Linked DNA regions of Macaca mulatta. The protein of the gene in region 2 interacts with the protein of the main gene of each other region in a pairwise test. Links are inferred from orthologs where the notes say so. Each region holds a gene or a part of one and is shown on either strand. Other genes may lie near its edges. The genes, in order: PBX2, PKNOX1, NUP58 and PBX3.

The links.
Region 1: the proteins of PKNOX1 (region 2) and PBX2 interact in binary tests that used the Homo sapiens proteins (3 or more experiments, as listed by UniProt). The link is inferred for Macaca mulatta from reciprocal best matches to the Homo sapiens genes PKNOX1 and PBX2.
Region 3: the proteins of PKNOX1 (region 2) and NUP58 interact in binary tests that used the Homo sapiens proteins (3 or more experiments, as listed by UniProt). The link is inferred for Macaca mulatta from reciprocal best matches to the Homo sapiens genes PKNOX1 and NUP58.
Region 4: the proteins of PKNOX1 (region 2) and PBX3 interact in a two-hybrid assay, tested with the Homo sapiens proteins (2 studies listed by BioGRID and IntAct). The link is inferred for Macaca mulatta from reciprocal best matches to the Homo sapiens genes PKNOX1 and PBX3.

What each region holds. Positions count from the first base shown.
Region 1 is NC_133409.1:150,129,568-150,135,596, forward strand, and holds the start of PBX2 (pre-B-cell leukemia transcription factor 2), read left to right. Parts: upstream 1-2,027; 5' UTR 2,028-2,265; coding exon 2,266-2,486; intron 2,487-3,375; coding exon 3,376-3,449; intron 3,450-3,666; coding exon 3,667-3,914; intron 3,915-4,005; coding exon 4,006-4,196; intron 4,197-4,378; coding exon 4,379-4,577; intron 4,578-4,758; coding exon 4,759-4,912; intron 4,913-5,267; coding exon 5,268-5,361; intron 5,362-5,457; coding exon 5,458-5,563; intron 5,564-5,696; coding exon 5,697-5,789; 3' UTR 5,790-6,029. Other genes in the region: GPSM3 (G-protein-signaling modulator 3), read left to right, coding at 1-31, 271-470, 675-812. UniProt on the Homo sapiens protein: Transcriptional activator that binds the sequence 5'-ATCAATCAA-3'. Activates transcription of PF4 in complex with MEIS1.
Region 2 is NC_133408.1:4,482,602-4,488,010, reverse strand, and holds part of PKNOX1 (homeobox protein PKNOX1), read left to right. Parts: intron 1-1,600; coding exon 1,601-1,728; intron 1,729-2,218; exon of another isoform or gene 2,219-2,720; intron 2,721-3,989; coding exon 3,990-4,161; intron 4,162-5,329; exon of another isoform or gene 5,330-5,409. UniProt on the Homo sapiens protein: Activates transcription in the presence of PBX1A and HOXA1.
Region 3 is NC_133422.1:5,528,601-5,534,573, forward strand, and holds the start of NUP58 (nucleoporin p58/p45), read left to right. Parts: upstream 1-2,427; 5' UTR 2,428-2,576; coding exon 2,577-2,683; intron 2,684-5,973. UniProt on the Homo sapiens protein: Component of the nuclear pore complex, a complex required for the trafficking across the nuclear membrane.
Region 4 is NC_133420.1:21,804,193-21,809,601, reverse strand, and holds part of PBX3 (pre-B-cell leukemia transcription factor 3), read left to right. Parts: intron 1-4,296; coding exon 4,297-4,487; intron 4,488-5,409. UniProt on the Homo sapiens protein: Transcriptional activator that binds the sequence 5'-ATCAATCAA-3'.

The DNA.
Region 1 (6,029 bases), on a different chromosome or scaffold from region 2:
TCCCCTCCTCCTCCAGGGACCCGCCACACAGGTACCCCTACCCACCCAGGGAGAGCCCTGACCCTGGTGCCCACATCCTGATCCCATTACCAAGGCCCAGTCCATTGTGGGCCCTCTCCCCACCTCCTCCAGACTCCCCTTGGGATTACCCATTGCACCGCCTCTCCTCTGACCCAAAGTCCCTAATCACATCACCCTATCCACACTCCCCCACGGCTCCTGTCTGCCAACCTCTCTGGGTCTCTGAGCCCTCCACACCCCTCTCCCCAGCACTAGGACCCCGCTCGGCCTCCCTGCTCTCCCTGCAGACTGAGCTCCTTCTGGACCTGGTGGCTGAAGCCCAGTCCCGCCGCCTAGAGGAGCAGAGGGCCACCTTCTTCACCCCACAAAACCCCCCAAGCCAAGCCCCTGCCCCACTCCGTCCTCTTGAGGACAGAGAACAGCTTTACAGCACCATCCTCAGTCACCAGGTAAGACATCCCCCCAGGAGGCAAACCCAGGCCTCCTGGTCTCTTGGCCCTGTTCTCTTTTGGGTTCTACTCCTGCTTCTCCCTAGGCACCCCATCACCTTCACAGGTTTCCTATATGCCTCCCCATACCAACCCTTGATCCTCTCAAGAACCTCCTCCCCTCCGACCCTCACCAAAGCTCTTCCTCTGCCTCCACTCCTCCAGTGCCAGCGGATGGAAGCCCAGCGGTCAGAGCCTCCCCTCCCTCCAGGGGGGCAGGAGCTCCTGGAGTTGCTGCTGAGAGTTCAGGGTGGGGGTCGAATGGAGGAGCAAAGGTCCCGGCCCCCCACACACACCTGCTGAGACTTGAGCCCCCAGCCAGCCCTTCCTCGCCCCTGGTCTGAAAGCTGGGCAGCCTATTGCATGCCCTCAACTCTTGCTTGGCGGGGGTAACAGAGACTGAAAGACGCAGCGCAAATCTCAATATTCATCGCCCACATCACCTTCCTTGGGAACTGGACGGGGTGAAAGGCCTCAAACTCTGGGAACAGGCGAGGTGGAACGTGGATTTAACTCCCCCCTGCACAGGTCCATGGGAGCTTGAGGCAGTAAGGGGGATCCCAAGCACCCATCTCAATGAGTGGCTGGGAGTCTTTTCCCTAACTTGTGGGGACACCACCAATTGTCGAGCTACTAGGCACTAGGGTCTGAGGGCTCAGGCCTCCTCCTGAGAGGTTATAACCTGAGAGACAGCTCTACCCTTCCTCCCAGTAAGAAGGGAAGGTGGGTGGGCACCTGAGAGATTAAGACTATTCTCCCAGTCCCACTACCAGCACCCCCCATCCCTGAGACTGAGGGGTTTAGAGGCTGTGAATGGACCTTCAGCCCTGCCCACCCTCCCTCCCCACTGCTGCTGAGTCTGTCCAATGTTTTGGTTGTGTGAATAAATGTAATACCCCTCTGGACTGAAGACTGGTGTCTGGGGGACCAGGGCGGGGTGAAGGGTAGGAAGGTGAGGCCAGAGGCCGCCTCTCTCCCCAGTCTGGCCAGAGGCCAGCTCCCCTCCCTGGCTGGTTAATTACTGGCTCATTAAGCAGCGGCTGGAGACCTCCCTAATTATCTCCCCCAGCCCCCCTCTCCTGGTTTTAATTAAGTAGAACAGGGAGGGGAGTCATTAGAACAAGAAATATGAACTGAGCTGTCGGTGAACCCAGGCATTCCAGCGGCGTGAGTCCACATCGCCTAGATCCCTGATTCAGGACCCAGGTGGCAGATCCCCGCAGCCGCCAACACGCCCCCACTCCCAGGCCGCGGAAGTCCAGCCAGGGGGCTTTCCCATATTTTTCAGATGGCCCGTCTCCTCCCCTCAGCCCCTCTTCCCTCTCCCCTCCTCCACTCGGTCTCAGTTCCTCTGTTTCTGTGTCTCTCTCTCCGCCCCCAGCTCCTCCCTGTTCCTCCTCTCTTCTCCCCTCCTCTTCCTCCCCGGCTCCCCTCCCCCAGCCTCCCTCCCTCGCTCCCCCCCTTCTCCCTCCTCCCTCCTCCCTCTCTCTCACACACACCCCCGCTTGGGCCTCCTCTCTCTCTCCGGCTCCATTTTCTCCGCCGCCGGGGGCCGGGGTCTCCTGTGGGGGGCCCAGCCGGTACCCCAGGTCTCCCTTCAGTGCCGGGGTGAACCCCCGGGGGAGCCGGGAGCCGGGGGCAGACGGGCGGGGGTTGGGGCGGAGGGAGCAGCGGCCCCAGCGAGTTTGGGGGGAGAAGTAACCAGGCGGGGGGGAGGGGCGGAGCAGGGAGGGGGCCTCAGGGCCCCCCCCCAGCTATGGACGAGCGGCTACTGGGGCCGCCCCCTCCAGGCGGGGGCCGGGGGGGCCTGGGATTGGTGGGTGGGGAGCCTGGGGGCCCTGGCGAGCCTCCCGGTGGCGGAGACCCCGGTGGGGGTAGCGGGGGGGTCCCGGGAGGCCGAGGGAAGCAAGACATCGGGGACATTCTGCAGCAGATAATGACCATCACCGACCAGAGCCTGGACGAGGCCCAGGCCAAGTGAGTGCCCCCACCCCGGGACCCCACACAGACCCAGCAAACCCCGTTCACATGCTTTGAATCTACTGGGAGCCCCCCAACTCCAGGGCCCTCTTCCAGGATCCAACAGCTCTCTTCTCTCATTCCTGGGAGCCCCTAGAAAAGTGATCCCTCTCAAACCTCCCTTCACCCCCAGGCCTTGAAACCTTCACAGAGGGAACCCCAGGTGGCCCCGCTCCCCACTCCTAACCTTTTGCTGACCCCCACACTCCCCTGGAACAGCCCCATCTCCGGGAGCCCCCTCTGGCTCCCAGACTCAGAAACTGTTCTTGGGCTATGTTATCTTCTTCCCTAACTCTCCACCCAGCCCCTTCATTCTGTCCAGATGTGGAGACCTCCACACCCTCTCCAGAGCCCCTAAAGCTCCTCTCCACGGCTCAGCCAGACACTAGGTGCATCAAAGCCTCCCACCTGCTCAGCCCCAGGACCCCTTCACACACACAACACTGATGTCCCCAGTTAGCTCGGCACCCCCAGTCCCGCTCTGCCACCTCAAACTCCGACTCTTCTCAACCCCAGCCTCAGTCTCTCTACCTCTGAAACCTACCAAGTCACTTTCCTTTCTCCATCCACTCCCAAATTCCTCCTCATACTTTTCTAGACCATCTCCCAAAGCCCCCGGCCTTTAGCCTGCTGCCTGCATCTTCCCTGTGTCACCCTGAAGCCGAGCAGCTTCCCCATGCTCTGGGAGCTGATCTTTTCCCAAGAACTCCCCTCCCCAACTCCATTCCACCCCCAATCCGCTTCCTCCCTCTGCAGATTGACCCTCCTCCCTCCTTGTTCTCAGGCCCCCTGCTCTGTTTCTCTAGCTCCTCAACTTTTCTCTTTCCCCACTCCCACTCCTCCCAAGGAAACACGCCCTAAACTGCCACCGAATGAAGCCTGCTCTCTTTAGCGTCCTGTGTGAAATCAAGGAGAAAACCGGTATGTGGGCCCTCCTCTGGTTGCTCAACTCTGGGGACACAAATCTGTTCATTATAGGGCTAGAGTGTGACAGCTTGGGGGCCTGAGGAAAGTGAGGAGTCAGGGGCACTGGGGAAGGAACCAAAGCCTGGGAACTTGGCTCTCCAGGAAGCACCAGGAGGACTGAGCACTGGGTATGGGGTCCCTGGGTCCTTAAGTCCACTCGCCTGCATGCTAGGCCTCAGCATTCGGAGCTCCCAGGAGGAGGAGCCGGTGGACCCACAGCTGATGCGCTTGGACAACATGCTTCTGGCAGAGGGTGTGGCTGGGCCCGAGAAAGGGGGCGGCTCAGCAGCAGCAGCTGCAGCCGCTGCAGCCTCTGGGGGCGGCGTGTCCCCTGACAACTCCATCGAACACTCGGACTATCGCAGCAAACTTGCCCAGATCCGTCACATATACCACTCGGAGCTGGAGAAGTATGAGCAGGTAAGGAGAGGAGGGTGGAGGGAAGGGCTCTTGCAGGGGAATCCCATGGCCAAAGGGCTCCTTCTCAGCAGCCCACTGGCCCCCACTACAGGCATGTAATGAGTTCACAACCCATGTCATGAACCTGCTGAGGGAGCAGAGCCGCACCAGGCCCGTGGCCCCCAAAGAGATGGAACGCATGGTGAGCATCATCCATCGAAAGTTCAGCGCCATCCAGATGCAGCTCAAGCAGAGCACCTGTGAGGCTGTCATGATCCTGCGTTCCCGTTTCCTGGACGCCAGGTGGGCCCAGGGACCCGAGCTGGCCCCCAGCACTGGGCTCCTTCCCATTCCTCTCCAAGACCCTTAGCTGCCATGCTGCACAACGTGGTACTCCATGACAATGGTGACTCTGGGGTCATGCCATGTAACAGCCCTGCCAGGACACCAACACCCTCCTCACCGCTCTTCTCCCTTCTCTGTAGACGAAAGCGCCGTAACTTCAGCAAACAGGCCACTGAGGTCCTCAATGAGTATTTCTACTCCCACCTGAGTAACCCATATCCCAGTGAGGAGGCCAAGGAGGAGCTTGCCAAGAAGTGTGGCATCACCGTGTCTCAGGTATTATGGAGGTTTCGGGAGGAGTTGTCAGGCAAAATGCACGCATCTCAGCTAGGTGCAGTGGTGTGTTCCTGTAATCCCAGCTACTAGGGAAGCTGAAGTGGGAGGATCACTTGAGTTGGAGACCAGCCTGGGCAACAGCATAGTGAGACCAGAAGAAAAAAAAATGCTGTCACTCACATCTTATTCAGTGAAGGGCTTCGGAGGCAAATGTTTCTACCCGACCCTCCTTTCTGCCCCACAGGTCTCCAACTGGTTTGGCAACAAGAGGATTCGCTATAAGAAAAACATCGGAAAGTTCCAAGAGGAGGCAAACATCTATGCTGTCAAGACCGCCGTGTCAGTCACCCAGGGGGGCCACAGCCGCACCAGCTCCCCGACACCCCCTTCCTCTGCAGGTGGATCCTACTGTCACCCCGGCTGACTGTTTTGCACACTTCCTGCTTTTGTTCCCACTTCCTACCTAGGCAAGATCATAGCAGAGAGGGGGCCTTTTGGGGTGACAGGGACCAAGCTGAGATAGGCTGGAGATGTCAAGGGACAGAGGCCACTCCAGTGAACTTAGTTCTGCCTTTCTTCCCACGGGTGGCCATGGGAGGCTAAGGAACAGCCTGCTCTTTCTGCGTGTTGCAGTGTTGTTTTGTGGATAATTGGAGTATAGTAGCACGTCCCCACAAGAGCTGAGAGTTGTGGTTCATCCCCTTTCTACCATCACGGGCTCTATTACACTCTTCCCTCTCTGCCCCCCACAAGGCTCTGGCGGCTCTTTCAATCTCTCAGGATCTGGAGACATGTTTCTGGGGATGCCTGGGCTCAACGGAGATTCCTATTCTGCTTCCCAGGTCAGATGCCCATCTCCTCTCCAGTAGGGCTTTCCCCAACTCCATTTCCCCTACTTGAGGATCCAAGACCTCTTTCCTCTGAGTTCTCTTCACTGTCACACCTTCCTCCGCTGCCTGCAGGTGGAGTCACTCCGACACTCGATGGGGCCAGGGGGCTATGGGGAGAACCTCGGGGGAGGCCAGATGTACAGCCCACGGGAAATGAGGGTGAGTGGATCCTGAAGCCCCTCTCCGTCCAGTTCTCGCAGGACAGAGGGGCATTCTCCCTAGTAATGTTGTGCCCACACAGGACTCCCGGGGCCTTGTCTGTTTTCTATACTCTGTCTTTCTCTTCTTCCAGGCAAATGGCAGCTGGCAGGAGGCTGTGACCCCCTCTTCAGTGACATCCCCAACGGAGGGACCAGGGAGCGTTCACTCTGACACCTCCAACTGATCTTGCCCCTCAGGGTCACAGGGGTGGGGGCTCTCACAAGGCGACTCTTGAAGAGGACACAGGCTTCCAGAGGACAAACCCCAAATACAGGAGAAGCACAAGACAGAGAAGGGCCAATGGGGTCATCCCCTCCCTAACTAGACTCTCTGTGCTGGGGGTGCTAATTACATGGCAGGAAGAATGGGGCCTCTAAGGGGAATGTGGGGTCTGTCTCCCCCTTTTTTCCATCTTTTTCCTCTC
Region 2 (5,409 bases):
ACTGGAGCCATGCTGGTGAGGTCTGAGGAGGGGTTAGGAGCTGATAAAACACTTCCCAGGCCCTGGGAAGCACTCAGGTATGAACGGGGCAGCGCTCCAGGTGTCATCTGCACCTGGCACAGCTGTCTGGGAGGAGGTGGCTGGTAGCAAGCACTGCTGTCCCAGGCTGTGTCGGAGGTGGTCACTGTGCTGGGATTACAGGCGTGAGCCACCACGCCCGGCCTTTTTAAGGCTTTTTATACATGCTGGCAGATGGCCTTACAGAAATACTGTGTCCACTTAGGCTTTATTGCTTTTTTTTTTTTTAAGAGAAACAAAAACAGTTTTCCTAATATGTTGTGTACCATTTAAAGGCAGCAGAATAGAAGTCATCTTATTCCAAAAACAAGACGTTGGAGGGAAGAGCGCACAGGGCTGGAGGATGTGAGAGGCATCCTGTGGGAGTGGGCATTCATGGCTGGCCCCCAGGCTGTCTGGCCAGTGGGGATGGCCCCGCCCCCATGAGATCTCCCCACCCCCGCTGCCCCACGCTGCTTCCTCAAGGAACAGAAGCATGGCCAAACCCACCGAGGGAGAGATAGCCGGTCCTGGTCCTGAGGAAGCTGAGGTCTGGACAGTCTAATCTGCTCATGGATAACTAGAAGTTTACTGTCGCAACATTTTGTTTTTGTAAACTGATTTCTTTTTTAGTGATTTACATATTTTTTCCCTAAATGACAAAGACATCGCTTATTTAAAGCAGTTTAAATGGTAGTATCTTTTAAGGCTTTAAACACAGCTGGCCTTTTCCTTCTGAATGCAATGACATTTTTATGGCTATGTATTGCTGAGGTTTGAGGGTAGATATGGGAGAAGTTCAGCCCTGCCACAAATATGTAGCGTATGGGGTTAGGTTGTGTCTGTGACATGGTAAGAAGACCTTGGACTATTTGTTTTTGCTTCTCTGACTGCAATATTACTACATATTAGGAGATATAGCAATAGACAGAGGAGGAAGATTGCATGTGCGCTGTTCTCTTCAGTAGGGTATCGCCAGTGTTATTTTAAAATCACGAGCATTTCACAGACATTGGTTATTTCAGTTCTTTTTTTTTTTTTTTTTTTTTTTTGAGGCGGAGTCTCGCTCTGTCGCCCAGGCTGGAGTGCAGTGGTGCGATCTCGGCTCACTGCAAGCTCCGCCTCCCGGGTTCCCACCATTCTCCTGCCTCAGCCTCCCGAGTAGCTGGGACTACAGGCGCTGCCACCACGCCCGGCTAATTTTTTTGTATTTTTAGTGGAGACGGGGTTTCATTGTGTTAGCCAGGATGGTCTCGATCTCCTGACCTCGTGATCCGCCCGCCTCGGCCTCCCAAAGTGCTGGGATTACAGGCTTGAGCCACCGCGCCCGGCCGGTTATTTCAGTTCTTAAGCAGTTTGAAAATTTTACCTTTATCTGTTTTAAAGCACGTTAAATTCAAACGTGTTGGTAGTATTCCTTACATATGATTGCAGTCATACCGCTGTCTGGCAATTCCCCACTCCAACTGCATTCCTGTTGCAGCATGGAATACCTAGTAGTGGTTTGTGTTTGCTAATAAGAATTGTTTTCCTCCTTTTACAGATGCAAGTAGTGACAGAGTTAAAGACAGAACAAGATCCAAACTGCTCTGAACCCGATGCAGAAGGAGTGAGCCCTCCCCCTGTGGAGTCTCAGACCCCAATGGATGTGGACAAGCAGGCCATTTATAGGTAGTGCCGGGGGTGCCGGCTGTGGGGGCACTCAGAGGAGTGAGGAGCGTCGACAAGTTTGTTAAAAGGAACACTAGAACTAGTAGCGAGGCAGAGTTGTGAGGTGCCATTATGATGTGATAACTGCTCAGCTGAAAATTGTCTCAGATTAAGATGTTATTTCTGGCCAGGCATGGTGGCTCATGCCTGTAATCCCAGCACTTTGGGAGGCTGAGGCCGGCAGATCACTTGAGGTTAAGAGTTCAAGACCAGCCTGGCCAACATGGTGAAACCCCGTCTCTACTAAAAATACAAAAATTAGCCAGACATGGTGACATATGTCTGTAATCTCAGCTACTTGGGAGGCTGAGGCAGGAGAATCGCTTGAACCGGGGAGGCGGAGATTGCTTTGAGCTGAGATCGTGCCATTTCACTCCAGCCTGGGCAACAAGAATGAAACTCTGTCTCACACATACACACACAAAGATGTTATTTCTAATACCTAAAAAAGTTTTAGAAAATAAATCTATAAATTTATTGACATCACTCTGACACTAAGACCAAAGACAATACCAGGAAAATACAGGCCAGTATCCTTCACGAACTTAGATGTAAAAATCATCAATGCAATATTAACAAATCAATTCTAGCAATATGTGAAAAGAATAATACATAGCGACCAAGTCAAGTTTTTCCTGGGAACGCCAGACTGGTTTAGTATTTAAAAGTTGATCAGGCCGGGCACGGTGGTTCACCCCTGTAATCCCAGCACTTTGGGAGGCCGAGGTGGGTGGATCACCTGAGGTCAGGAGTTCTAGACCAGACTGGCCAACATGGCGAAACCCTGTCTTTACCAAAAAATATAAATATTAGCCGGGTGTGGTGGCGCATTCCTGTAGTCCCAGCTACTCTGGAGGCCGAGGTGGAAGAATCACTTGAACCTGGTAGGCTGAGGTTGCAGTCAGCTGAGATCGTGCCACTACACTCCAGTCTGGGTGACAGAGAGTGAGACCCTATCTCAAAAAAAAAAAAAAAAAAAATTTTTTTTAAAGTTCAGCGTAGAATTACATACAAGTCAGCAGTTCTACTTCTATGCATATATATACCTAAGACAAATGAAAAAAGTCCACACAAAAACGTGTACATGAATCTTCATAGCAGCACTGCCTGTCATGGCCAAAAGCTGGAAACAGTGCCCGTGCCCATCAACTAATGAATGAACAGACATATTATGGCATCTCCATGCAATGCAATAATATTTAGCAGTAAAAGGAATGAAGTGGCAGGTGCAGTGGCTCATGCCTGTAATCCCAGGACTCTGGGAGGCCGAGTCGGGCAGATCACTTTAGGTCAGGAGTTCGAGACCAGCCTGGCCAAAAATGGCGAAATCTTATCTGTACTAAAAATACAAAAATTAGGCCAGGTGCGGTGGCTCACGCCTGTAATCCTGGCACTTTGGGAGGCTGAGGTGGGCAGATCATCTGAGGTCAGGAGTTTGAGACCAGCCTGACCAACATGGAGAAACCCCATCTCTACTAAAAGTACAAAATTAGCTGAGTCCTGGTGGTGCGTGCCTGTAGTCCCAGCTACTCGGGAGGCTGTGGCAGGAGAATCACTTGAATCCAGGAGGCAGAAGTTGCGGTGAACTGAGATCACGCCATTGCACTCCAGCCTGGGCAACAAGAGCGAAACTCTGTCTCAAAAAATAAATTAGCCAGGCGTCATGGCAGGTGCCTGTAGTCCCAGCTACTTGAGGGGCTAAGTAGAAGAATCGCTTAAACCCGGGAGGCAGAGGTTGTAGTGACCCGAGATCCGGCCACTGCACTCCAGCTTGGGCCACAGAGCAAGACTCCGTCTAAAAAAAAAGGACTGATACCTGTTACAACACTGGTGAGCCTTGGACACATTATGCTGAGGGAAACAAGCCAGACACCACGGTCACATGTTATAAGATTCCCATTCATACGAAATGTCTAGAAGAGGCAAATGTATAGAGATAGCAAATAGGTTCTAGTCGGCTGGGGTTTGGGAAACAATGGAGAATGACTGCTATTAGATACAGGGTTTCTTTGCAGGGATGATGGAAATGTTCTAAAGTTGACGGTGGCAATGACTGTGCAACTCTAAAAACCGTTGAATTGCATACTTTAAATGGATGAACTGTGTGGTATGTGAATTTTCAACCAGCAGAGGTGTTAGGTGAAATAGTGCAGGCGTACGTGCAAAGACATTCTCATGGAGATGTAGAACGTAAATGGATTATTTTTGTCTTTTCTCCTCAGGCATCCACTATTTCCATTATTAGCTTTGTTGTTTGAAAAATGTGAACAATCTACACAGGGCTCCGAAGGCACAACTTCTGCCAGTTTTGATGTAGACATCGAAAATTTTGTAAGGAAGCAAGAGAAGGAAGGGAAACCTTTCTTTTGTGAAGATCCAGAAACTGACAATTTGGTAAGTGAAATAAATTTTATTTTTCAAAATGTGAAATATGTTTATGAAATTTTAGGCTTCTAAGTAGAACTGTAGACTGCTTGTAGTTCTGCTAAAGGAGAGACTCATACAACTCTAAAAGAACTAATTTTTATGGTGTGTGTAATGTGGATATGCCCGTCTTCCAGCCTTCTCTAGGTATCTTTTATTTAGTTAGTTTTTATTTTTAATTTATTTTATTTGTGTAGACACATCTTACTGTGTTCCCCAGGATGGCCTCAAACTCCTGGCCTCAAGCAATCCTCCCTCCTTGGCCTCCCAAGGCCAAACCTACCCTTTCCTTTAAAAATCAAATAAAGACTGGGTGCAGTGGCTCACGCCTGTAATCCCAGCACTTTGGGAGGCCAAGGCGGGCAGATCACGAAGTCAGGAGATTGAGACCATCCTGGCTAACACAGTGAAACCCTGACTCTACTAAAAATTCAAAAAATTAGCCGGGCGTGGTGGCGGGCACCTGTAGTCCCAGCTACTCAGGAGGCTGAGGCAGGAGAATGGCATGAACCTGGGAGGCGGAGCTTGCAGTGAGCTGAGATCGCACCACTACACGCCACTACACTCCATCCTGGGCGACAGAGCGAGACTCCATCTCAAAAAAAAAAAAAATAAAATAAAACAGGCCGGGTGGGGTGGCTCACTCTTGTAATCCCAGCACTTTGGGAGGCCGAAATGGGTGGATCACAAGGTCAGGAGTTTGAGACCAGCTTGGCCAACATGGCAAATCCCCGTCCTTACTAAAAATACAAAATTAGCTGGGCGTGGTGGCACACGCCTATAGTCCCAGTTACTCAGGAGGCTGAGGCAGGAGAAGCACTTGAACCCAGGAGGCAGAGGTTGCAGTGAGCCGAGATTGTATCACTGCACTCCAGCCTGGGTGACAGAGTGAGACCCTGTCTCAAAAAAAAAAAAAAATCAAATCAAATAATTTGAGTCGCCATGCCAGATGGACACGGGGATTCGGTTCTCTCTGCACAGCATTTGTAAAGGTCCGTAGGGCTGGGGTGTTCGGGCAACATGTCTGTGACCTGCGTCTGTCCTTGGTTTATCATAGACATGGACACAGACTTGAGTTGTATTCTCCAAGACAGCTCTGTCTAGAGGCTGACAGTGATTTGTGGTGCCTTCCTCCCAGGGCCAGGGCTCCAAGATCCAGCATTTTCTGTGCCCTCCGGAGGCAATGGAGAACTCCTTGGTTCCGTCATCACTGGATCG
Region 3 (5,973 bases), on a different chromosome or scaffold from region 2:
TTACATAGAGAGAATGTTCATATTCCTCACACCCAGTTTCCCCTATTATGAACATATTAGTTCCTATATTTTTACATGCTCTTTCCTTCCTGCGAATATTACAAGTCTTGTTCATTAATATATATTTCTTAAGTGCCAGCCATTTTGCTATTACTAATTGTAGGTTGGTATTCTTCAAAAGTTTTGGGAAGAATACAAGAGAAAATCAAAGACATAGGGAGTGCCTTTCTATCTTCCCATAAAAATCATGTGGACCTTTTATTTTTCAGTCAAAAGGAAGACTTTATGTGAACAATCCTCTTACTGACCACCCTATAGCCATTACTGAAAATAGCCTTCTCTATATCACTGAAGCTTTAAAACTCACAACAATCTTTTATTTTTGCCTCCTGTTCGATAACTATGAAGTTTTTATTTATATCTTAATCCAAATATATCCCTTTTTTTCTTTTTTATCATTCCCATTATGACCTCCATGACGTTTAAAATGTTATGGCCATGAGCGGTGGCTCACGCCTGTAATCCCAGCACTTTGGGAGGCCGAGGTGGGCAGATCGCTTGAGGCCAGGAGTTCGAGACCAGCCTGGCCAACATGGTGAAACCCCATCTCTACTAAAAAATACAGAAATTAACCGGGCGTGGTGGTGTGCGCCTGTGATCCCAGTTACTCGGGAGGCTGAGGCAGGAGAATCGCTTGAACTCAGGAGGCGGAGGTTGCAGTGATAGGCCATTGTATTCCAGCCAAGGCCACAAAGCGAGACTCCATCTCAAAATACAGTATAAATTTAAAAAATAATAAATTAAGTTAAAAAATAGATAAAATAAAATGTACATGTTTCAATTATACAAACACAGAGGTGGTGTATTAGTCTGCTTGGCTGATGTAACAAAATACCATAGACTGAGGTGGCTGTAACACCATTTACTTCTCTCAATTCCGGAGACTAAGTCCCAGATAAAGATGGGGCAGTTTGGGTTCCAGGTGAAAGCCCCTTCTTGCTCTGTCCTCACATGGCACACAAAGGAGAACAAGCTCTTTGTTGTTTTTTCTCTTAAAGGCACTAATCCCGCCATGGGGGACCCACCCGGGTGACCTCATATAAATTGAATTACCTCCCAAAGGCTCCATCTCCAAATACCAACATATCGGGGTGGGGCGGGGCTTTAACATACGGATTGGGGGAGGAGGGAAATAGTTCCGTCCACAGCTGGTGGCAATGCCCAAGCTCAACGCAAGATTAAAGTACTGAATTACAGAGAGCTGTGAGATGAGGTTAGAAAGACTCCTCATACGGAGGTCATCAAGTGCCAGACTAAAGAGCCACTGGGCTTTTTAGATCATAAATCCGGGGGTTGCTTATGGGATGGATTTTGTTAGAGATCACGAGTGGGAACACCATTGGGGGGGGTAATATAACAATTCCTGAGGGAAAAATAAAAACGAACACTACGACAACCACCCTCGAATGCACCACCACCAGGAAGCCTTTCCCGACGCTTCGCCAGAGAGGTTCTCTTTAAACGCGAATTTTTCTTGAGTTACCCTAGAAATGTGAGTTCCCCTCCACATCTCGCCTTCTCTCGTACACGTTCCTGTGCGTTTCCTAACCTTCCACTTCACGGTGCCTGCAGCACGCGGTGTGTCCGCGCGCCCTACAGCCCTGCACCGCGCTTCCGGCGCAGCCGCCCGCGCTCGGCCCCAGGTCCCGCCCTCCCGCATCAGGATGCGCGTACGGCGTTTGTGGACTTGACCGCAGACCAGGAAATCCCGCGGGCCTGGCCACTTCTGGGCGCTAGGACCACAGCCGGCCACCCCACGGACGCCGGGGACGCTCTTCTGGGCCCATTTCAGGGCCGCGCGTCGGGCTCGCAACAACGGCGTCCAGCTGGCCTGAGGCGCAGGGGTGGGGCTCACGTCGTCGGACGGTTGCATGGATTATTTTCGATTGATTTCCGAACCTTCAGGAAGCAGACACGCTCCCCTTCCTTCTTAAGAGATGATGGGGCGGCAGCCAACGAAGGCCCGAAGCCGCCTCCTTTTCTGGGTGGGGAGCTAGGAGATGCTCAGGAGGGACCTCCCCGATTCTGAGCATCATTTTTGGCAGGAGGCTACATATGAGCAGTAATTGACATTCATCATTCTAATGTGCAGATTATGTCAGTACGGATGCTACGATAGAACAACTAAAAAATGACAGAAATGGTTTCACTGTTTTTAAACTCTGGGAGCCTACTCCTTTAAGAGATTGGGCCGTGCGCCAAGCCCACCTGGTCCCGGGGTGCCTTGCGCGGCTCGCCGACCCCCCCCCCCCCCGCACCCCTCCCAACTGGCGTCCCAGAGCTCCCTGCGCGGCGGTTTCACTTCCGGCGGGCTACGTGCGCGCGGCGAGCGACGGGCGTACTTTTGCGTGGTTGCTCCACCCCCTCAGCCTTACCTTCGCCGCCGTTGGGGCTGGAAGTTCTCGCCAGGTCGGTGCCGGGCTAGAGAGATGTTCCCCGGCCCGCCTCGGCTTTGAGGCGAGAGCAGTGTCCCAGAGCCCTTTCATCTTGCTGACGGCGTCGAGCCCCGGGCAGACATGTCCACAGGGTTCTCCTTCGGGTCCGGGACTCTGGGCTCCACCACCGTGGCCGCAGGCGGGACCGGCACGGGCGGCGGTTTCTCCTTCGGAACGGGAGCATCTAGGTAACCGCACTTTCTCACCTTCCTGGGCCGGATTCCCCCCGAGCCCCACCCCCGCAAAGCTCCCCTCGTGTCCCCGTCCTCTCTCTTCCCGCTGGCTTCCTTCCCGGTGAGGCTGGAGAGAAGCACATAATCTAGCCGCCCGGCGTCGTAGGCCTCTCGCTCGCCGCGGTACCCGGGCCCAGCGCGGCCTGGTGAAGTGGAGGGCGGGATGGGTTTTGTGCTGTGAGGTTTCCAGATCCGCGTATAGTTCAGGCATTGTTTGGACCTAGTGAGGTCTTGACTGCGTGGAGGGGCCTGGGGGTCTTCCCCGGAGCTTTAGCGATGCGTCAGTCTTAGGCGTAGAATGAACGTTGAATGAATGAATGAAATTATAGCATGTTGTGGAGTTTTATGGTAGATAATTCCAATTTCATTGCAGCATTTGCGGTTTTGGATATTACGGTGTTTTAATAACTTTGTGGTTGTTTTTAACCAGCTTTTCAAGCTTCTGTGCCACATGGGACCTCATCTGCTTTTGTTAAAACAACAACAACAAAAAACACTTCTTTGCAGTGTTTTTTAGTGGTAATTTTGTGCATTATGTGCAGATTAGTATATCTGACGCAAGAATGTTGTGTTGTAATCACTCAACATTGTCTTTTACTTAAATTACGAAACGTAGGTAGCATGTTCCTCGTTTTTGTGCAACCCATTAGTCCAGGTGGCGACAAAAACATAACTGTCCAGAAAGAAACAAAGTGGTGAGGCATTTATTTTAATGAGAGATTTAAGCTTTAGAACTCAATTTTTTAAAAGATAAAGGTGGAGGGGTTCATAAAATTAAGGAGTGTGCACACTGTCAACAAGATACTTCCTGAAGCTTAAAAGATGCGGCTGTAGATTTAAAAGGCAAAAACTTAAGCATGACCTGCAGTTTAAAAAGGGAGGGAGGAGGAATCACAGGCTACACAGTCAAATTCAGAAATTTGAATTTTCATCCGTACCTCCGTTATTCTTACTCGCTCAACAGCAGGTCCTAATAATTTTACTTCTGCCATTTCCGTTTGTCTTTATTTCCAGTTCCACCACCCTGCTCAGGCTATTATCATTCATGGAACAAATATTTATTGGACAGATTCCCATGTGCAGGGCTCTGTTTTAGGTATTAAGAGTCTTGCTCTCTTGATCCTTAACATTCTTACGAAAGTACTTCTGATTCTTGTCAGATTTTTAACCAGCTGTCTTTCTTGTTTTAGATGAAAACTACTCCAATCAACTTCTTCAATCTGTTCTGCCACATTGTAGCCAGAGTAATTTTTTTTAAAACATTGTCATTGCTCCCCCCTTTAATCATTTCCCGCTATCTTTAGAGTGAAGTTAAAGAAAACAGACAAACAAAAAAACTTACCATAGTCTGCAAGGTCCACTTCTGCTGGAACCTCTGGGTACTCATCTTGAGCCCGTCTTTTTATTTTAGTTATCCAGACCCACTGTTAAAAACAAACACGCAACTACCACCCGGTGCACCACTACCTGCACACAAATAAATCACTGAAATAAAGTTTCCGAGAAAGATACTAACCCCTACTTCATGGGATGCACTTTGATATTTTCTATTCTATTTCTTTTTTTTTAATGTTGTTTATGACTTGAATTAATTTTTATATTTCTCTCATGGTCCTGATCTTAGTGTGAGAAAGCCTGTCCTAGCAACATGACCTTTTCTCTTTTCAAGTGGGCTTTGCCAGCCCCTTCCTTGCCAGTATCAAATGGTCTTTTTCCCCAGAGAGGCCTTTTCTGACCTGTCAGTCTAGGGGAGATTTCTGTTCTCCTAGTACTCTTAGAGTGCTGATCACAATTGTAATCAGTTTGTTACATTTATTGTTAACTTGTTTGTTGTCAGATCTCAGCTCTAGAATAATTAATATCTGTGTTTCTCACTAACTAGAAACTGCCTGAGGGCAGGGTCTGAGTCTTACCACCTCTTCCTCAGTCCCAAGGACAGTGCCTGGCATAGAAAAAGGGCTTTAGTAACAATTTGAATGACTGAGCAAATGAGTTATTAGTAATAAGTTATAAAAAATTACCCAAGTTTTAGAGAGGCTTGGATAAATTAGTGAAAGAGGAGACAGTCTGACATAAATTTGTTAGAGTGCTGGTTGGGAGGCCTGACAGCCCCTAGTGCCACCTGGTGATTTGATGTCTTGAGGTCGGTCATTTTAGGGGAGTTCTCACATCTGGAACTCCTCAACTCAGGAGTGGGTTACCTGAGTTGATGAGTGAGATGAAGCATTTGAATATTTAGCATCAAGTCTGGCACTTGCTAAGTGCTCAGTAAATGTTAGCTATTATGTTAGCTGCCAAGTCCGCATTAGGGCAAGCTGGCAAGTTAAAATAACATTCCTGATGTGATTGAGTCAAGTTGGTTTTTATACAGCACATCCTATCAAGTGCTTGGCACATAACATTGGTTTGAGGCAATAATTGGTCAAGTCTAGGGTAGCTTTTGCTTTTCTTGAGTTTAGTAAATTTCACTGACACCAAAATTTCTCTTTTGCTTTTGTGATAGAGTAAAATTTCATTTTGATGTGTTTCTTTGGCAGCATTTTCAACTTTAATTATGTAATATTTCATAATATCTTCAGTTATGTTGTCAAGACATTAAAAAATATATATATGTATATATATATATGGCACAATCTCGGCTCACTGCAAGCTCCGCCTCCTGGGTTACTCAATTCTCCTGCCTCAGCCTCCTGAGTAGCTGGGACTACAGGCGCCACCACCACGCCCGGCTAATTTTTTTTGTATTTTTAGTAGAGACAGGGTTTCACCGTGTTAGCCAGGATGGTCTTGATCTCCTGACCTCATGATCCACCTGCCTCGGCCTCCTAAAGTACTGGGATTACAGGTGTGAGCCACTGCGCCTGGCCCTTTTTTTTTTTTTTTTTTTTTTTTTGAGGCAGAGTCTTGCTCTTGTTACCTAGCCTGAAGTGCAGTGGCGCAATCTCGGCTCACTACAGCCTCCGCCTCCTGGGTTCAATCGATTCTCCTGCCTCAGCCTCCCGAATAGCTGGGATTACAGGCACACCACCACACCAGGCTAATTTTTTTTTTTTTTTTTGATATTTTTAGTAGAAACGGGGTTTCACCATGTTGGCCAGGCTGGTCTCAAACTCCTGGTTCAGGTGATCCGTCCTCTTCGGCATTCCAAGGTGTTGGAATTACAGGCGTGAGCCACTGCGCCCAGCCACCAATAATGTTTTAGTATCCCCCAGATACTCATTTATTCTACTCCACATTATATACAC
Region 4 (5,409 bases), on a different chromosome or scaffold from region 2:
CCCCTCCCCTCCCCTCCCCTCCCCTCCCCTCCCCTCCCCTCCCTTCCCCTCCCTTCCCCCTCCCTTCCCCTCCCTTCCCTTCCCTTCCCTTCTTTCTTTTCTTTCTTTTCTTTCTCTCACTCTGCCACCCAGGCTGGATGCAGTGGCACAATCTCAGCTCTCTATAGCCTCTGCCTCCTAGGCTCAAGTGATCTTCCTACCTCAGCCTCCCAAGTAGCTGGGACCATAGGCATGCCACCATGTCCAGCTAAGTTTTTATATTTTTGTTGGAGACAGGATTTTGCCATGTTGCCCAGGCCAGGTTATTTTTTATATATTGGGTTAAATGAAATATATTGTTAATTAATTTCACCTAATTCTTTGTATTTTATTTTTTTAATATGGCTACTGAGAATTTAAAAATTTAATATGTGTCTCATAATATATTTCTATTGGACAGTATTACTCTAGAGAGAAATTTTTTGGCCACATTTATTTGGGAAAAAGTTGGATATACTGTTTCTCCTTGAAGATTTATTACAAATATTGGGATAGAAATACTGAAGAGTCTTATCCACAAACATTTTTTAAGATTTTGGTTAACCCAGCATATCCCAAACATACCATATTGTTGGACCATTAGTTAACATTCTATGAAACTAGCTGTAGAACTGTAGAATTTGTTAATCCCAGTTTGGGAATAGTTCTAGTTCAATTATTGTTGTTTTACTCATGAGAATACTGAAGGGTAGAGTTGGCCACATTATATAACTTGGAAATTATATAAACATCTCCTTAGGGAAAGTTCAAGAAAAAGCTATATATATATATATATATATATATATATATATATATATATATTTACTGGTAGGGTGACCACTTGTTTCTAATTTGGCATAAAATTGTTTAAATTGATAATATAGGCCGGGCATGGTGGCTCATGCCTGTAATCCCAGCACTTTGGGAGGCTGAGGCAGGCGGATCACTTGAGGTCAGGAGTTTGAGACCAGCCTGGCCAACATGGTAAAAGCTTGTCTCTACCAAAAATACAAAAATTAGCTGGGCGCAGTGGCTCACACCTGTAACCCCAGCACTTTGGGAGGCCGAGGTGGGCAGATCACGAGGTCAGGAGATCGAGACCATCCTGGCTAAAACAGTGAAGCCCTGTCTCTACTAAAAATACAAAAAATTAGCCGGGCGTGGTGGCGGGCACCTGTGGTCCCAGCTACTCAGGAGGCTGAGGCAGGAGAATGGTGTGAACCCAAGAGGCGGAGCTTGCAGTAAGCCAAGATCGCGCCCCTGCACTCCAGCCTGGGCGACAGAGCAAGGCTCCATCTCAAAAAAAAAAAAAAAAAATTAGCTGGGCACAGTGGCATACGCCTGTAATCCCAGCTACTCGGAAGGCTGAGGCATGGGAATCACTCAAACTTGGAAAGCAGAGGTTGCAGTGAACCAAGATTGTGCCACTGCACTCCAGCCTGGGCAGCAGAATGAAACTGTCTCAAAATAAATATATAGGCCATGTACTGTTTATTACAGGCTCACGCCTATAATCCCAGTACTGTGGGAGGCTGAGGCAGGTAAATCGCTTGAGGTCAGGAGTTCGAGACCAACCTGACCAACATGGTGAAACCCCATCTCTACTAAAAATACAAAAAAAAATTACCCGGGCATGGTGACACACGCCTGTAATCCCAGCTACTTGGGAGGCTGAGGCAGGAGAATAGCTTGAACTTGGGAGGCAGAGATTGCAGTGAGCCAAGATCGTGCCATTGCATTACAGCCTGGACAACAAGAGCTAAACTCCATCTCAAAAAATAATAATAAAATAAATTGATAATATAGTGGCGAAGATCTTAAATTTATTTTTTTAAATCTTGGTTTCTGCCTTCAACTTCTGGTTTTAGTCTACAATATTGCTTAATGTTTTACTATGTCATATCCTAGGATAATGATTACTAACCTTTTAAAATTATAGACTGAGAATCTGAAAAGAAAACAAAAACTTCACAGATTCATCAGAATTATTAATATTCACACAACTTGTATAGGATTTCAGGAGGTCATTGACCTTCTAAACCTATCCATTGACTGCAGATTAAGAATTCTTCTCTTATGGTTCAGGGATAATGAATTTATGGCTATTAACCAACATAACTCTCACTCTTGAATTGTAGTATTAAAAAGCCCACCAATTTGTAGATGTTTATTAGATATGTATATTGCATAATTCTACACTCTGAAGAATCCTGTATCATATAGTGTCACCACTCGCAAGGAATGTAATATTTCCTACGGCTTAAAACATTTTTGAAAAAACTTTACATAGTAAGACTCATTTTACCTTATCTTAGAAATATTTATGGAAAGCTCTGTAAAAGCGTAGAGTAAGTGAAATACACAGTGTACAGGAAAGGTTAGTCCTCCAATGAGCAGTTAGAAAAACCATCGTGTGCTATATGTAAGCAGTGTTCAGGATACCTGTAGGGAAGTGGACATTATCATAACTTCCAAACACGTCTTGCATTAATCAGTGATTGTTCTGTCTGCTCACTCTATCAGGGACACCCGTGCAGTAAGATGCAGAATTTCCCATCCTGCTTTTTTAAGAAAAATGCCAGAAGAGACTTTTCTTCTTCAGGAGTATAAACTGATGCTTTATTTACCAGGGCAGTACCGGATTTCAGTGTAGGCCCAGTTATACAGATTTATAAATCAAAGAGAATATAGATGAAGTTGGATACAGTGGCACACACCTGTAATCCTAGCAGCTCAGGAGGCTGAGGTGGGAGGATCTCTTTAGGCCAAGAGTTTGAGACAAGTCTGAGCAACATAGCAAGACCCTGACTCTAAAAAATGATTTAAAAATTAGCTGGGGGCCAGGCGCGAGGGCTCACGCCTGTAATCCTAGCACTTTGGGAAGCCGAGGCGAGCAGATTGTCAGAGCTCAGGAGTTTGAGATCAGCCTGGGCAGCATGGTGAAACCCCATCTCGACTAAAAGAAATTAGCTGGGTGTGGTGATGTGCACCTGTAGTGCCAGCTACTTGAGAGGCTGAGGCAGGAGAATTGCTTGAACTTGGGAGGCGGAGGTTGCAGTGAGCCGAGATTGTACCACTGCACTCCAGCACTCCAGCCTGGGTAACAGAGTGAGACTCCGTCTCTACAAAAAATAAATAAATAAATAATTAGCTGGGTATGGTGGCACATGCCTATCATCACAGCTACTTGGGATGCTGAGATGGGAGGATTGCTTGAGCCCAGGAGCTTGAGGCTGCAATGAACTATGATCATACCACTGCACTCCAGCCTAGGTGACAGAGTGAGACTCTGAATTTTAGGGGAAATGTGTGTGTGTGTGTGTGTGTGTGTGTGTGTGTGTATGTGTGTGTGTGTGTGTACTGAAAGAGACAATGTCTGAGGATTGTTAACTAAAAAGTTTGAGACCCAAATCTGATCCTTATTTTCTGTTGGACATCTCTTGAAGAGTTGAGCTGCTATACAGAGATGGCTTATATCCACTAAAGGCCTGCACTACAGCTAAATTGTAATAGGTCGTTGGAATGCTTGGCATGCAAGGCCCTTTATGTGCTAATTCAAGCCTGAATCCTTCTTGCCTCTTTACATATTATCTGTATTCCTACTTGCCATATTCTGAACTTGCAACATACTGTTAATTTCTAGTGCCTGGAATTCCTCCTGACTTCCATCTTTATCTACCTTTCAAAGATGCTACCTATTCTTTAAAGCGCAATCCATGAAGCCTACAGATGAGAATATTCCTTCCTTGGAACTTATTAATATCTTCCTGTTAGTCTTTGCACTGAATTAGTTTTTTATATATTTTTTCTCACCAAAGGCCAGGCCTGCATCTTACTCATTTCTATGTTCCTTACAGCACTGGCAAGAGTTTGAACTTTGTAGTTGTTCAGTAAGCATTTGTTGACTAAATGTAAAACCCCAGAGAAAATAGGTGGTACTTAGTATTAACAATTAACATATATTTTTATTTGTATATGGGAATTGGTAGGGAGCATCCTCGAATGGGAAAACATAATTTTGGAACTAGACAGGGGTGGGTGGGAAGAGCAGCTGAATGCTATCTCCCTTGCACATCTGACCATGCACGGTTTCAGAATTCTTGCTGCTTTAACTACTATTACTACCATTTTGAAAGTGTCTTAGTTTTCGTTTTACCCTACACACTGTATAATGCTATTGGTGATTGCAAATGAGGTGTAAATTCAGATGTTAATCTCTTTATGTGATAATATAAAATATCAGTTTCCAAAGGAGTGATTTTTTTTTTCCCATTACAGGCATGTAATGAATTTACTACACATGTGATGAACCTTCTCCGAGAACAGAGTAGAACACGTCCCATTTCTCCAAAAGAGATTGAAAGAATGGTGGGCATCATCCATCGAAAATTTAGTTCCATTCAAATGCAACTCAAACAAAGCACTTGTGAAGCAGTTATGATTTTAAGATCAAGGTTCCTCGATGCCAGGTATGTGAAGCCATAAATCTATTGCATGGCTTTCCCCCGTCTTTCACTCCTTGTATATTCTTTTCTGTAAAACTGACCCATTGGTCTTAAATTCTTTTGGCCATATGAGCTCTTTTGTGCAATGGACAGGTAATTCAACTCATGGTGCCTGTGCTGTCAAGCTTTCCTGTCTGGGAATGGTAGTGTAGTGTGGGTTAGTTGCCAGTTTAGTGACTCAGGAAATGAATAGGATTGGCGTCTCTGCTGATGGCTTTAGGAATATGTAGCCTTTCCATTCTGATGCTAAAAAGTGTTTTTAAGGATAGTTTTCTGCATATAACTATTTTAACAAGGGGTATTTTCTAAGAGTTTCTTAATGTTACACTGCTTGTGCATATTATCGGAAAATACTTGGAGATATTGATACTCCTAAGAAGGAAGAGGCATTTCAGTTAATAGCAGTTACCACAAAGCTCCAGAGTCTGTATATCCAAATCAAGAAAGAAAGCCTATCATTTTTCCTGTAAGGATGAAAATTTCCCTTTATCCGAAGCTTTCCCCAAGTTTCACAGGAGTTAGGTAATATATTGTATATGGTAATAAATTGTATGTGGTGACCTACTGAGTGACAGAACAGAAGAATTGTCAACGTCCTAGTGTACGCTGCCTCTGTAGGGATGCCTCTCGGGGCATTGCCAAAGCTTATGATCAATCTGCAGCTTTGGAAAGGAGTTTCTGTTTTGTTTTTCTTTCTTCTCCCATGGAATCTGACAGAGGTGATAATTATCATCCAAATCTCACAATATTAAAGGAAATGACTAAGATAGCTTCTCAACTGGAAAACAAAGTGTGTGGAGCATTTTCAGCGTTTTTCATGTTAGCTCTTTCTTTCCGTCTCAGTTCCTGTCCATCCTTTTGTACGTGAACTAGCACAGTACCTACT